2 linked regions of the Macaca fascicularis genome follow. The protein of the gene in region 1 purifies or fractionates together with the protein of each later gene. This does not show direct contact. Links are inferred from orthologs where the notes say so. Each region holds a gene or a part of one and is shown on either strand. Other genes may lie near its edges.

The links. Proteins that work in one complex are often made in the same cells at the same time.
Region 2: the proteins of FUS (region 1) and DDX42 purify together in Homo sapiens (affinity purification with mass spectrometry; 3 studies listed by BioGRID and IntAct, with this or other methods). This does not show direct contact. The link is inferred for Macaca fascicularis from reciprocal best matches to the Homo sapiens genes FUS and DDX42.

The regions. Positions count from the first base shown.
Region 1 is NC_088394.1:29,366,115-29,372,847, reverse strand, and holds the start of FUS (RNA-binding protein FUS), read right to left. Parts: upstream 4,346-6,733; 5' UTR 4,270-4,345; coding exon 4,257-4,269; intron 2,094-4,256; coding exon 2,069-2,093; intron 1,979-2,068; coding exon 1,809-1,978; intron 674-1,808; coding exon of another isoform or gene 671-673; coding exon 529-670; intron 325-528; coding exon 146-324; intron 1-145. UniProt on the Homo sapiens protein: DNA/RNA-binding protein that plays a role in various cellular processes such as transcription regulation, RNA splicing, RNA transport, DNA repair and damage response. Binds to ssRNA containing the consensus sequence 5'-AGGUAA-3'.
Region 2 is NC_088390.1:70,307,725-70,313,890, reverse strand, and holds part of DDX42 (ATP-dependent RNA helicase DDX42), read right to left. Parts: intron 3,511-6,166; coding exon 3,406-3,510; intron 2,003-3,405; coding exon 1,883-2,002; intron 811-1,882; coding exon 634-810; intron 1-633. UniProt on the Homo sapiens protein: ATP-dependent RNA helicase that binds to partially double-stranded RNAs (dsRNAs) in order to unwind RNA secondary structures. Unwinding is promoted in the presence of single-strand binding proteins.

The DNA.
Region 1 (6,733 bases):
CAAAAAGGTATGACAAGTGCCAGGCAATGAAGTACAAAAGAAATTAAAAAGACAGCTAGGAAATAAAACAGGAACCCTTTTAGGCTAAAACAGAATACAAATCCTTATAGAAAATGGGCTGCAGACAAAGCTGAGGACATCTCACCTCCACCTCCACTACCACTGCTGCTGCTGTTGTACTGGTTCTGCTGTCCATAGCCCTGAGGGGGATTATAGCTTTGCTGCTGTCCATAGCTTTGCTGCTGTCCACCATAGCTAGGCTGCTGGCCGTAGCCCCCACTCGGGGGCTGCCCATAGCTGCTGGTCTGAGAACTGCTACCGTAACTAAGGAAAACAAACAAAAAACACAATCACAATCCCAGCATAGCCCCCCAATTTCCTTTTAGTGGATTCCATTCTCTGTACTCAACACAGGCTCCCCTACCCCAATTATACCTCTAAACTGCTCCTACTGCTGCTGGTCCCTTTATCATTCCTCATCAATTCACCCCTCTTTTCAAGCCTTCCCCGACATCGACACCACCGTACCTTCCCGAGGTGCTGCTGGGAGTTGGCTGCTGGCCATAGCCAGGGTAGGAGGACTGCTGCCCATAAGAAGATTGGGAGCTCTGGCTACTGCCATAGCCGCCAGTCGAGCCATATCCCTGGGGAGCTGACTGAGTTCCATAGCCTGCTACAAGAAAAAAGAAGTCACAAAAGCCACCAGGAAAAAGAAAATGTAAGAAATGTGTTAAAACATATACAACCTAATACCTATACTCAAAAAGTCAGCCTTTCAGAAGCTGTTCATAATCTTGCAACTCATAGTTACCCTCCTTTCAAAGCCCAAAGTTAATGCTCCAACTTCTATCCTCTCTAAGACAGTTCCAATTTAACCCCGCCAACCCCAACACCCTCTAATCCCAAGCCCAAGGATTCCTGTTAACAGCACTGTGATATGCAGCTGTGCATGCAGTTACGTACAGGACAACCACCTTTCTTAGTTACACTTCAGGACCTTGGGGCAATCCCACCTCCTTATGTATCACATGATTTCATACATTTGTTTCAAGCATAACCATTTTCTCCATTTAAGAATTGGCCTAAAACTGGTTCTCCCGTTAGAAAATATGCTCTTTCATGCTGAGATGGGAAATGAGAGTCATAAAAATTAAAAGCCAAAGAAAACAAATGTAAACAGAATCACAAACCAAAAAACATTTTTGTTTTTTGAGATGGGGCCGCAATACACTGCCCAGGCTGGAATGCAGTCGCTGTTCAGTCACTATCATAGCTCACTGCAGCCCCAAACTCCTGAACTCAAGGAATCCTCCTGCCTCAGACTCCTCAGTAGCTGGGACTACAGGTGTGCCACAATGCCCTGTAAAGGACTCAGATCCCAAAGAGTTTTAAGAATTATACACTCATTTAGGGAAAAGAAATATGGAAGAGTTTCAACACTTCAGTCCTGCTCAGGTTTAAGAAAAGGGACATTCAGGGCGTGATGGCTCACAACTGTAATCCCAGCACTTTGGGAGACTGACGCAGGTGGATCACAAGGTCAGGAGTTCTAGACCAGCCTATCGAACATGGTGAAACCCCATCTCTACTAAAAATACAAAAATCAGTAGGGCGTGGTAGCAGGTGCCTGTAATCGCAGCTACTCAGGAGGCTGAGGCAGGGGAATTGTTTGAACCCGGGAGGCGGATGTTGCAGTGAGCTGAGATAGCACCATTGCACTCCAGCCTGGGCAACAGGATGAGACTCCGTCTCCCAAAGAAAAAGAAAAAAAAGAAAAGCAATATTCAGAAAGAGCAGGAAGAGGTGACCTGCTGAGAAAGACTCACTGCTCTGGCTCTGGCCGTAAGAAGAATAGCTGCTCTGGCCATAGCCTGAAGTGTCCGTGGACTGGCTGTAACCGCTGTAACTCTGCTGTCCGTAGGGCTGACTGCTCTGCTGGGAATAGCCCTGCCCAGGCTGGGTGGGGTAGGCCCCATAGCTAGATGAAAGGAAAACCAGCGTGATCAGAAAACACAGCTTGACCACCCTTCCCCTCTACAAACTCTGGAAGCCCAAAAACAGCACTCACCTTTGGGTTGCTTGTTGGGTATAATCTGCAAAAAAAAAAAAATACAATCACATTATCTTCAGCCGCCACTCTGAAACAGTTGAATTAAAGCTAAATTCCTTAACTCAAGCACTGATGAATAAATAGGACCACACAGGCCAGGTGCGGTGGCCCACGCCTATAATCCCAGCACTTTGGGAGGCCGAGGTGGATGGATCACTTGGGGTCAGGAATTCCAACCAACATGAAGCCCCATCGCTAATAAAAATACAAAAAATTAGCCGGGTATGGTGGCGCACGCCTGTAATCCCAGCTATTTGGGAGGCTGAAGCAGAAGAATCGCTTGAACCCGTGAGACAGAGGTTGCAGATCGCGCCACTGCACTCCAGCGTGGGCGACAGAGCGAGACTCCGTCTCAAAAAAAAAAAAAAAAAAAAAAGCATCACGTTTCAATAAAGGGCATAAAATTCCCCCATTGAGACACTGGTTGAGAAGAGTAGCAAACTGGCCTATCAGCCAAGTGTTCTTACAAAAAAGAAAAAGTGAAGAAAATGCAAGTTTCTACAGAGTCCCAGAAGCCTTAACCGTTGGAAAAACCAAGGTCTTGGTGGACAGCCACAACTTTCTGCAAGACCAATTCATGTCAGTGATTGCTCTAAAACATCGCGCATTCGCTTCTTCCACTCTATAACAAAGCCATTATTGCCAGGAGTCAAAACAGACTAACTCGCCCAAAGTCGTAGAGCTACCAAGTAGCACAGGTCTGAATTCGAGCAGTGTTCAGATTGTGGCCTCTACTCTCTCAGCCCAGACCCACAGAAGAATGTCTCAAAAAAGGCCATTCTGCACTCTTTGACCAATTCCGGAGAAGAAGTGGCCTTTTTAGTGCAAAGCCAGAGAATCAAGAGCCCTTGGACCCCAAATGACAGAGATCATCCAAGTGCTCGCCTTAAGAGGCCAAAGTCAACAGGTACTCGAGTCCCCAGCCGTGGGGCTCCAGATGGTTCTGTTTTCTCATCTACCCTGCCTTCCCCTGGGCGAACCAAAAGCAACGAAAGCCCTTTTGAAACGCCCCACTTTAAATACACGAACAAGATCAACTCATCCTCCCAGCGCAGGAAACGCGGCGCTTCCCCCGCAGGAAAAGGGAAAGGACCAGGAGAGGGTGTGGCCTCGACGGCTGTTATTCTCCGTCCCAATCTCAGAAAAAAGAAATTTAGACCAGGCGTGGAAGCTCACGCCTGTAATCCCGACACTTTGGGAGGCCGAGGAGGGCGGATCACCTGAGGCCAGCAATTCGAGACGGGCCTGACCAACATGGTGAAACCCCGTCTCTACTAAAAAACACAAAGATTAGCCGGGCTGTGGTGGCAGGCGCCTGTAATCCCAACTACTAAGGAGGCTGAGGCAGGAGAATCACTTGAACCCAGGAGGCGGACATTGCAGCAAGCTGAGATCGCACCACTGCACTCCAGCCTGGGCGACAGAGGGAGATCTTGACTCAAAAAAAAAAAAAAATTGGGGCGGGAAAAACTCTCGGGCCAGGTCCCCGAGTCCGTTGGTGGAACCACGACCACCTCCTCCAAACCGTTAAGCCGGAGCGCGGCCCAGATACCGAGCCTCCGCCCCCAGCCGCGTGGCAACCGAGGCGGGAATGGAGCGGTCCCGCCCCTTCGCGAAAGACCACAGAGGAACAAGGCTCACACCGGACGCGCGCCGCCAAGTCTTCCGCGAAGGGTCTCGCGACAAAAAGCTGAACCGACACGAGGCGGGGAAGGGGTACCCGCGCCGCGAAGGGGGAGGGGCCCGCAGAGCGCGTGCGCGCCGCGAGTGCCCGGATGCAGCACTGCGACAAAGCGGGCCTGAGCGCGGGGCCGGGAGTTGGGGGAGGCGAGGCCACGGAAACCGGGCATTTTCCACCCTCACCTGATGCTTCAAACCCCTAAGAAGCGTCCCTCCCAACGACCACCCCAAGCAAACGGACTGCGAAGAGAAGACTTGCCGCCCCGCGCGCGAGGGCCAGAGGAGCGAAACAAAATGGCGACACCAGCCTCCTCCAGTTACCCCTCTCCGCGGTTTCCCGCCACAGGGGCACGAAAGAATCCCACACAGGATCGCCACCCCGGTCCCACCTAAAATGAAAAGCCTAGGTGGGAGGCCTCGGCCCGGTGCGCCGCCGCCGCCGCCGCCGCCTCGCGCCCTTACCTACCGTTTGAGGCCATGTCGGCGCACGCGCGCACAGCCAAGCAAGCAACAAGATTCCAACAACGCAGAGCACCGACGCCTGGAGGACTGAGCAGCCCCGCCTCCTGCGTCGAAGCTTAAGTACGTCCCGCCGCCTACGCACCGCGCAGGCGCGCACCAAACGCGGAAGAGCAGGGGGAGGAAGGAAAGCGCTCCGCCCCCTTCCTAGCGCAGGTAGAGGTTCCGAGCATGCAGATGGGAAACGAGCTAACTAGAATCATGCAAATACTATACATAATGATATTTTTTGGGGAAGAACCCCTCTCTCCTCGGCAGGACTAGCCCACGATCTAACTCCACCCCCATGAAGGCACAGTGGTACGGCCTGAGTGCCCGCTGGGGGCGGGGCGGGGCGGGGCCGGGCGGCTGGGGACAAAACTGGAGTCACCGCCGGGAGTCGCGGGGTGGAACCGACATTCCTGTGGCCGGGCCTCTTCGCTGGGCCCCGCTTTCACCCAGGACGGCGAGCTCCTGCCCTCCGCCCTCTTGCCGCTGTATGGGGCGCCTTGTCCCCGCGGCTCCAGCCTCCCTCGTCGTCAGCACACTGGCCCTGCGCCCTGGTGTTGACTTCGTCGTCTTTCGGGGTTGCCTTGCTTTTCGGCCTTTCTGAGGTTCGGGAATTATGACGTTTGACCTGAAAGACAGCAGGGATTTCGGCCGGAACCCCTGAGCGCCGAGCTGGTCCAGCACTGGGCTCTCACCCGGACCCTCGCGGCTTTGCCCCTGGGGAGCCGCGGGGCGGAGCAGTCCAGGCCATCCTTGGGACAAGAGAGGGTTGGCCTCAGATGAAGGGCCCCCCAGCCTTTGCTCAGGGACCTCCTTTTTATTTTTCTGAAGCCCTACCAGGGAACCAGTGGCGATCCCAGAAATAAAACGTGTACAAGGCTTAAGTGGTTTCAAAATGCACAGATAATTTCCTTCTCATCAGTCTTACGAAGGAGGTAAACATATCTCCGTTCTGTACATAAGAAAAGTGAGACTCAGAGACCCAAGTAATTGTGCCTGATTACAGGGCAGCTAGGAGGAGTCGTGATTCGAATCCAGGTCTTGTAACTGCAAAACCTCTTTTTGGTGGCATGAATGCTAGAGTGTTTGGTTGCCTTTCCACTTCCTGTGAGAGCAAAAGCAGAAAGAAAAATTCAAATTAACTTGCAACTTGCACTTTCATCAGCCTTGCCTGGAGAAGGCAATTTGAAACTACTGAACAAAGCAAGACAAAAGACGTTAATTCCTGATACATACGCATGCAGGTTTTCCTTCCCAACTTAACTTTCAGCGGGATTCCGGAAGGTCTTTTGAGGGTTGGACCTTTCCTTCTAGAGAAACAATGAGGGCCATGTCCTGGGCCCCCCCCCCCCAGCAAATTAAGCCCCACTAAGCCCTTGACTTCAGCCCTGATGGCCCTGAATACGCCAATATCCACCCCACCCGCGTTGGAAGGAGAGTTCAACTCTCCAGTGAGAGCAAAAGAAAGGAAGTCCACCCTCATTCATGCATTAAGTCACAAATATTTATTTAGCACCTAGTATGTTCCAGGCACTGTTCTGGGCACTGGGTATGCATTAGTGTACAAAGCAGATGAAGCTAACATTTAATAATAAAGCTGACCGGGCGCGGTGGCTCACACCTGTAATCCCAGCACTTTGGGAGGCCGAGGCGGGCAGATCATGAGGTCAGGAGTTTGAGACCAACCTGGCCAATGTGGTGAAACTCCGTCTCTACTAAAAACACAAAAATTAGCCGGGCATGGTGGCACGCACCTGTAATCGCAACTACTCATGAGGATGAGATGGGAGAATCGCTTTGAGACGGGAGAATCGCTTAAACCCAGTAGGCGGAGGTTGCAGTGAGCCAAGACGTGCCATTGCACTCCAGCCTGGGCGACAGAGGAAGACTCTGTCTCAAAACAAATAATAATAATAAAGCTGACATTTAATAATGATATACATTGTGCTCATCTATAATATATGATAGCTAACACTTTAACAAGACTTACTGTCAGGCACTGTTCTGACTGCTTTGAGTAAATTCTTGATTTTATTTTTCACAACAAAAGGCTGATGTGAGGATGACATTTTATCTTTTTTTTTTTTTTTTGAGCTATGGTCTCTCTCTGTCACCCAGGCTGAAGTGCAGTGGCACCATCTCAGCTCACTGCAACCTCCACCTCCCGTGTTCAAGCGATTCTACCACCTCAATCTCCTGAGTAGCTGGGAGTACAGGTGTGCGCCACCACACCCGGCTAATGTTTGTATTTTTAGTAGAGACGGGGTTTCACCATGTTGGCCAGGCTGGTCTCGAACTCCTGGCATCAGAGGATCCACCCGCTTCGACCTCCCAAATTGCTGGAATTACAGGTGTGAGCCACCTCGCCCTGCTAAGGATGACATTTTACAGATGAGGAAATAAGCATAGAAAGATAGAAAGCTGACTGGGCACAGT
Region 2 (6,166 bases), on another chromosome or scaffold:
TAACATGGTTATACCCCATCTCTACTAATAGCCGGGCATGGTGGTGGGTACCTGTAGTCCCAGCTACTCGGGAGGCTGAGACAGGAGAATGGCGTGAACCCGGGAAGCGGAGCTTGCAGTGAGCCGAGATCGCGTCACTGTACTCCAGCCTGGGCGACAGAGCGAGACTCCGTCTCAAAAAAATAAAAATAAATAAATAAATAAATAAATGGTTGGCCGGATGCAGTGGCTCATGCCTGTAATCCCAGCACTTTGGGAGGCCGAGGTGGGTGGATCACGAGGTCAGGAGATCGGGACTGTTCTGGCTAACAACACGGTTAAACCCCGTCTCTACTAAAAAATAGAAAAAATTAGCTGGGCGTTGTGGTGGGCACTTGTAGTCCTATCTACCTGGGAGACTGAGGCAGGAGAATGGCGGGAACCCAGGAGGCGGAGCTTGCAGTGAGCGGAGATCACGCCACTGCACTCCAACCTGGGTAACAGAGCAAGACTCTGTCTCAAAGAGATAGTCAATTTTGTGTGTATCTTACTGCAATTAAAAAAAAAAGGTTTCCTGGTCGTTCTACCTCACTTGACTGGCTGGTCCCTTGCTAGTCCACATATGGAAGGAGGCATTCTATAGAAAGCACATACCTGCTGGCAAAGCTCCCTGGTAGGACACACAATCACTGCAATTGGTCCATCACCTGGTTCCAACTCCTTCTGGTCCATTATATGAATCAACATGGGCCATATGAAGGCTGCAGTTTTCCCACTACCTGTTTTAGCAATACCAATCATGTCTCTACCACTCAATGCCACAGGCACACCCTGGAGAAAAAGTAAAATATAACCACTCTAAAATTTCAATTCTAAAGGTGTACTGAAGCAAATCCTGGGGAAGGATAAATGACTACTAATGACATTTTTATATGCAATGGAACAAAACATATCCGGTGCTATGCATACTGGTTGTGAAATAGAAATATCAATATCCAACATTCTCATTAACTTCTTAATTTATAGGAAATGACATCATTCTCATTATGTGGATATCAGCCACCACTTACAGAACTGAAACAACTCCATTTTGTTTAAAATACAGAAATGAAAAATCAAGGCTGGGCAGTGGCTCACGTCTGTAATCCCAGCACTTCGGGAGGCCGAGGTGGGCAGGCTGCTTGAGCTCAGGAGCTCGAGACCAGCCTGGGCAACATGGTGAAACCCCATCTCTACTAAACTACAAAAAATTAGCCAGGTGTGGTGGCATACGCCTGTAATCTCACCTACTCGGGAGGCTGAAGCAGGAAAATTGCTTGAACCTGGGAGGCAGAGGTTGCAGTGAGCCAAGATCGCACCACTGCACTCCAGCCTGGACAACAGAGTGAGACTCCGTCTTCAAAAAAAAAAAAAAAAAAAAAAAAAACCAGAAAGATCGCAATTTATAATGAAGGGTTGCTAAAATTTTTAAAAATTTTCTCCCCTTGAGGAGGTATAGACTATCTCATTCATATACAGAAAATGAGAATTTTCTTCATAAGAATAAATAAGTCCCATATATAAATGGGAAAAAGAAGCTAAAACTTTCAGTAATGAATGAGAATTTTCAAGTGATGGACAAGGGAATTCTAGTCATTGACAGCACTAAACTTGTCCATATACAAACCTTTATGGTTACGTTTAGACCTAATAAATTATTTTCTTCATATCATATTTTCAAGATATGTATCAGATACAAAAGAATATTTGCCAGCCATTTAGTGACTTCTTAGAGTAATAAATACCTCTATCCTTATCAATAAGGTTCTACACTAAACAGTTTTACTACTGTGATTTGTTTTTAAACTAATATAGTCACAAAAGATTACCCTACTTTATTTTTCTTTCATTATGTTTTACGTACCTGACACTGTATTGGAGTGGGCTGTGTGTATTCAGATTTCCGAATCTGGTGCATAAGTTGTTCGTCAAACCCAAAATGAGCAAAGCTACTTCCTGGTCTAGGAGGTGCAGCACCAGAGACCTAGAGATAGAGACAACTCCCCAGAATGACTTGTACTTCAACATTAACAGCATTTGAAGTTCAACAATACTTACCTGGATCTAGCATTTTAGCTGGAGTATGAAGTGAAAATACAAGTCTGTAAGCCAAAATCATACAATGAAAAGGCAAAACCTCAAATGGTAACAAATATAAACCCCATATTAAAAACTCCATGACAAATATTCCCAAGATAATTGTCATACAATTTTAAATGATTAACTAAAAATTTATTAAATCAAAATTAATTTTCTCATAACAAACAAAATGGAAAAAAAACTGTTCAATGAATTGGGAAGTCATTACTGTTCTTTCTTTTGCCATTTTACATAACCATTAACCAGAGGGTAGAAAAAAATTAACGTATCTTACTTTTGAAATGAAAATTCCAAGTTGGCTCCAAATAAGACAACTCTACATATGCTGGCTACAAAGACATAATCTACTGCCTCCATTTTCAGTTGTGCCTGATGAATTAACGTCTCCCTTAGTGACTGATGGTCTAGCCACTGTCAAGCCCTGTTCAAACTGTACCCAGGTGAAGAATGGGGCTTATAATCTCCATTGTGTCCCCCAAAGTAGTAACCTTTCAACGCTCCTCTGGTGATGCTGACATTTCCAGTCAGGATTTCACTTAAAAATTTTTAAGTGAAAAAAATGTTAAACGTTTTACTTAAAAATTTTCTTGGGTCATTGGGGAGGTGAGTACCTCTTGGAAAACAGACAAGTGTACACACACCAAATACACACCCCTCCTGGAAAACAGGAGTTTAAACATCGTGTAGCAACTGATAAGGTGCACACAGGCAAGAAAGTTGTCTATATTAAGAGTAGATAGCATAGCATATTCTTTCTGTGTGTTTCATTTACCATCTATCAGCACCTTAAACCAATGTAGCCAATGTGCAGCTCAAAACTTTTGGTAGGCAGTTTAAACCATTCTGAAATCAGTGCATGTGTATTTTAAAAGGTATTAATTTATTCTAATTTTTAAAATAAAGCATACTATATGTAATTTGACAGACAAGTTTATATTAATTTCAAAATATTCTAAGATATCATATGTTAACATCTATTAATTTTGTTTCCTCTTCCTTTAGATGGGGACTCCCACCCTTCATCACTAGCCCATCCAGCACAGAACATACAAAATTCACTGAAATATGAAAGAAGAAAATGATCTTATCCTAAAACAGCATCTAGAAGACTAAAACAATCAAATTAAGAGACGTGAACAGAAGGGACATAATAATTATTCTGGCAAAGACAGTTCAGAGATCACTAGAAAAGAAATTCAAGGTTATTAGTTTAGATAACCAATAATAATACTAAATCTGGACTAATTAACATTGATATAAGAATACTGAGCTTAATGATTGTCTTACCCGAAGATTGAGCTTATGTCGGAGATCTATTAACTGCTGTGGAGTGAGGTTGGTTATCTCTTCATGCTCATTGTAAAAGTTTTTTTCAAATGGTGGATAGTCAATCTGCAGGTCCAATTATTCAAAGTTAGTCTAGAATTCAAGAGTCAATTCTGTAAGTTTGACTTTAATGCAAAATAATCTTTTCCAAATAATACACAAGTAAAGCCATTCCAGCTAGAGAAAGCAAAAAAATTAATTTATTCTCAACTTAGATCCTAAAAAGTACAGATAATTTGTTTTCTGTTCCTATTTTCAATATAAACACCAACCTACTTCTTTTTTTGGTTGACACACAGTCTCGCTCTGTCACCCAGCCAGTAGTGCAGTGGTGCAATCCTGGCTCACTGCAGCCTCCGCCTCCCAGGTTCAAACAATTCTCATGCCACCTCAGCCTCCCAAGTAGCTGGGATTACAGGCATGAGCCACTGTGCCTGGCCTAACACCAACCTACTTCCTAAAGAGACTCTTAAGGAAACCTCGAATTTGAACAAGCTTGAAGGAGACTAAGGAATCTCTATAATGCCAAAGACCTCAGAGGACAGAGAAGATATTTCACCATATAACATTTAAATATGTTTTGAATTAAGCTGTTTAACCTAGCTCTAAGCATTTAAAAACATTCCTAATATTTCTTTTGGAGATAGTTCTGCTTTTAGAGGGAGTTCTATTCTGTTTAAAAACGTGGAGCTGTTTGTAACTTTTAAAAAATGTATGGCCAAGCATTTCCAATTCCAGAGAGAGTAGTAGTCACTTGTATTATTCTTTTCATAGCTTACTGTACTAGGTATACAAAACATAAGCACACCACCACCTATCAATTTGGCTAAATTATTTTTTATAAAAAAAATTTTTTTTTCAGTGACAGGGTCTTGCTATGTTGCCCAGGCTAGACTCCTGGGCTCCAGTGATTCTCCTGCCTCAGCCTCTCCAGTAGCTGGGACTCCAAGCATGCGCCACCATGCCTGGCTCTTAAAACTTCTTTTTTAAGAAAAATATAAGCACTCTATAGGCAGTTAAAAAAAAAATCATAATTCTGGATACATAAAAAAAATTGGCAAGAAGAGTGACACTGTCTTGTATTTTCACAAATCTCTTTATTAATGTCTAACTTAAATAGCTCATACAATATTCAAATTGTTGCAATAGCTTGGTTTTATTTAAGCCTATAAGAAAATCTGGCCTCCAGGCCAGGAGCAGTGGCTCATACCCATTATCCCAGCACTTTGGGAGACTGAGGCAGATGGGTCACTTGAGGTCAGGAGTTCGAGACCAGCCTGGCCAACATGGTGAAAGCCCATCTCTACCAAAAATACAAAAATTAGCCGGGCATAGTGGCACACGCCTGTAGTCCCAGCTACTCGGGAGGCTGAGGCAGGAGAATTCCTTGAACCTGGGAGGAGGAGGAAGTTGCAGTGAGCCAAGGTCGCGTCACCGCACTCCAGCCTGGGTGACAGAGCAGGACTCCATCTCAAAGAAAGAAAAGAAAAAATACGTAGTTGAAAAAGGGAGGAGAGTATTTTAGTAGCCTTTTCAGATACTTTTTTTTTTTTTTTTTGAGATGGAGTCTCCTCTGTCGCTCAGGCTGGAGTGCACTGGCACGACCTCAGCTCACTGCAACCTCCTCCTCCAAGATTTCAGTGATTCCCCTGCCTCAGCCTCCCGAGTAGCTGGGATTACTGATGCCTGCCACCAATCCCAAAGACGGGGTTTCACCATGTTGGCCAGGCTGGTCTCGAACTCCTGCCCTCAAGTGATCTGCCCACCTTGGCCTCCCAAAGTGCTGGAATTATTATAGGCATGAGCCACTGCATCCAGCCCTTTTCAGATACTTTTTATTTTACACTAAAACTTGACAAGTGGTCATTTCCTAAAAGTTATTTTCATTGTGTAATCAGAAACCATATTACTGAAGTTTTTACACTCTGTAACATTATAATCCATTTGTCTATCATGTATTTTGAGTTGAGCTTTCATTCACGCTTGACTTTGTAATGTCATATGTAGATCATTTGGAAAATATTGGTTCGCCGAGGTTACATACAGATCATCCAAATGTTAACACATTTCATTATATTAAAAATCAGTTATTAATATCACCATCAATTTTGTCACAACTTTAAGTACTGAAAAGCTATCAAGCCTACTGTGGTAGATACAAGTTTTCCAAATTCTAAGTTTTGCTTGAAAGCTTGACTTTTTTTTTTTTGAGATGGAGTTTTGCTTTTATTGCCCAGGATGGAGTGCAATGGCATGATCTCAGCTCACTGCAACCTCTGCCTCCTGGATTCAAGTGACTCTCCTGCCTCAGCCTCCCGAGTAGCTGGGATTACAGGCATGTGCCACCATACCCAGCTAATTTTGTATTTTTAGTAGAGACAGGGTTTCTCCATGGTGGTCAGGCTGATCTTGAACTGCTGAACTCAGATGATCCACCCACCTTGGCCTCCCAAGTGCTGGGATTACAGGCGTGAGCCACCGCACCCAGCCTGAATTTTGTTATTAAAAAACAAAATTGCCGGGCGCGGTGGCTCAAGCCTGTAATCCCAGCACTTTGGGAGGCCGAGGCGGGCGGATCACAAGGTCAGGAGATCGAGACCACAGTGAAACCCCGTCTCTACTAAAAATACAAAAAATTAGCCGGGCGCGGTGGCGGGCGCCTGTAGTCCCAGCTACTCAGGAGGCTGAGGCAGGAGAATGGCGGGAACCCGGGAGGCGGAGC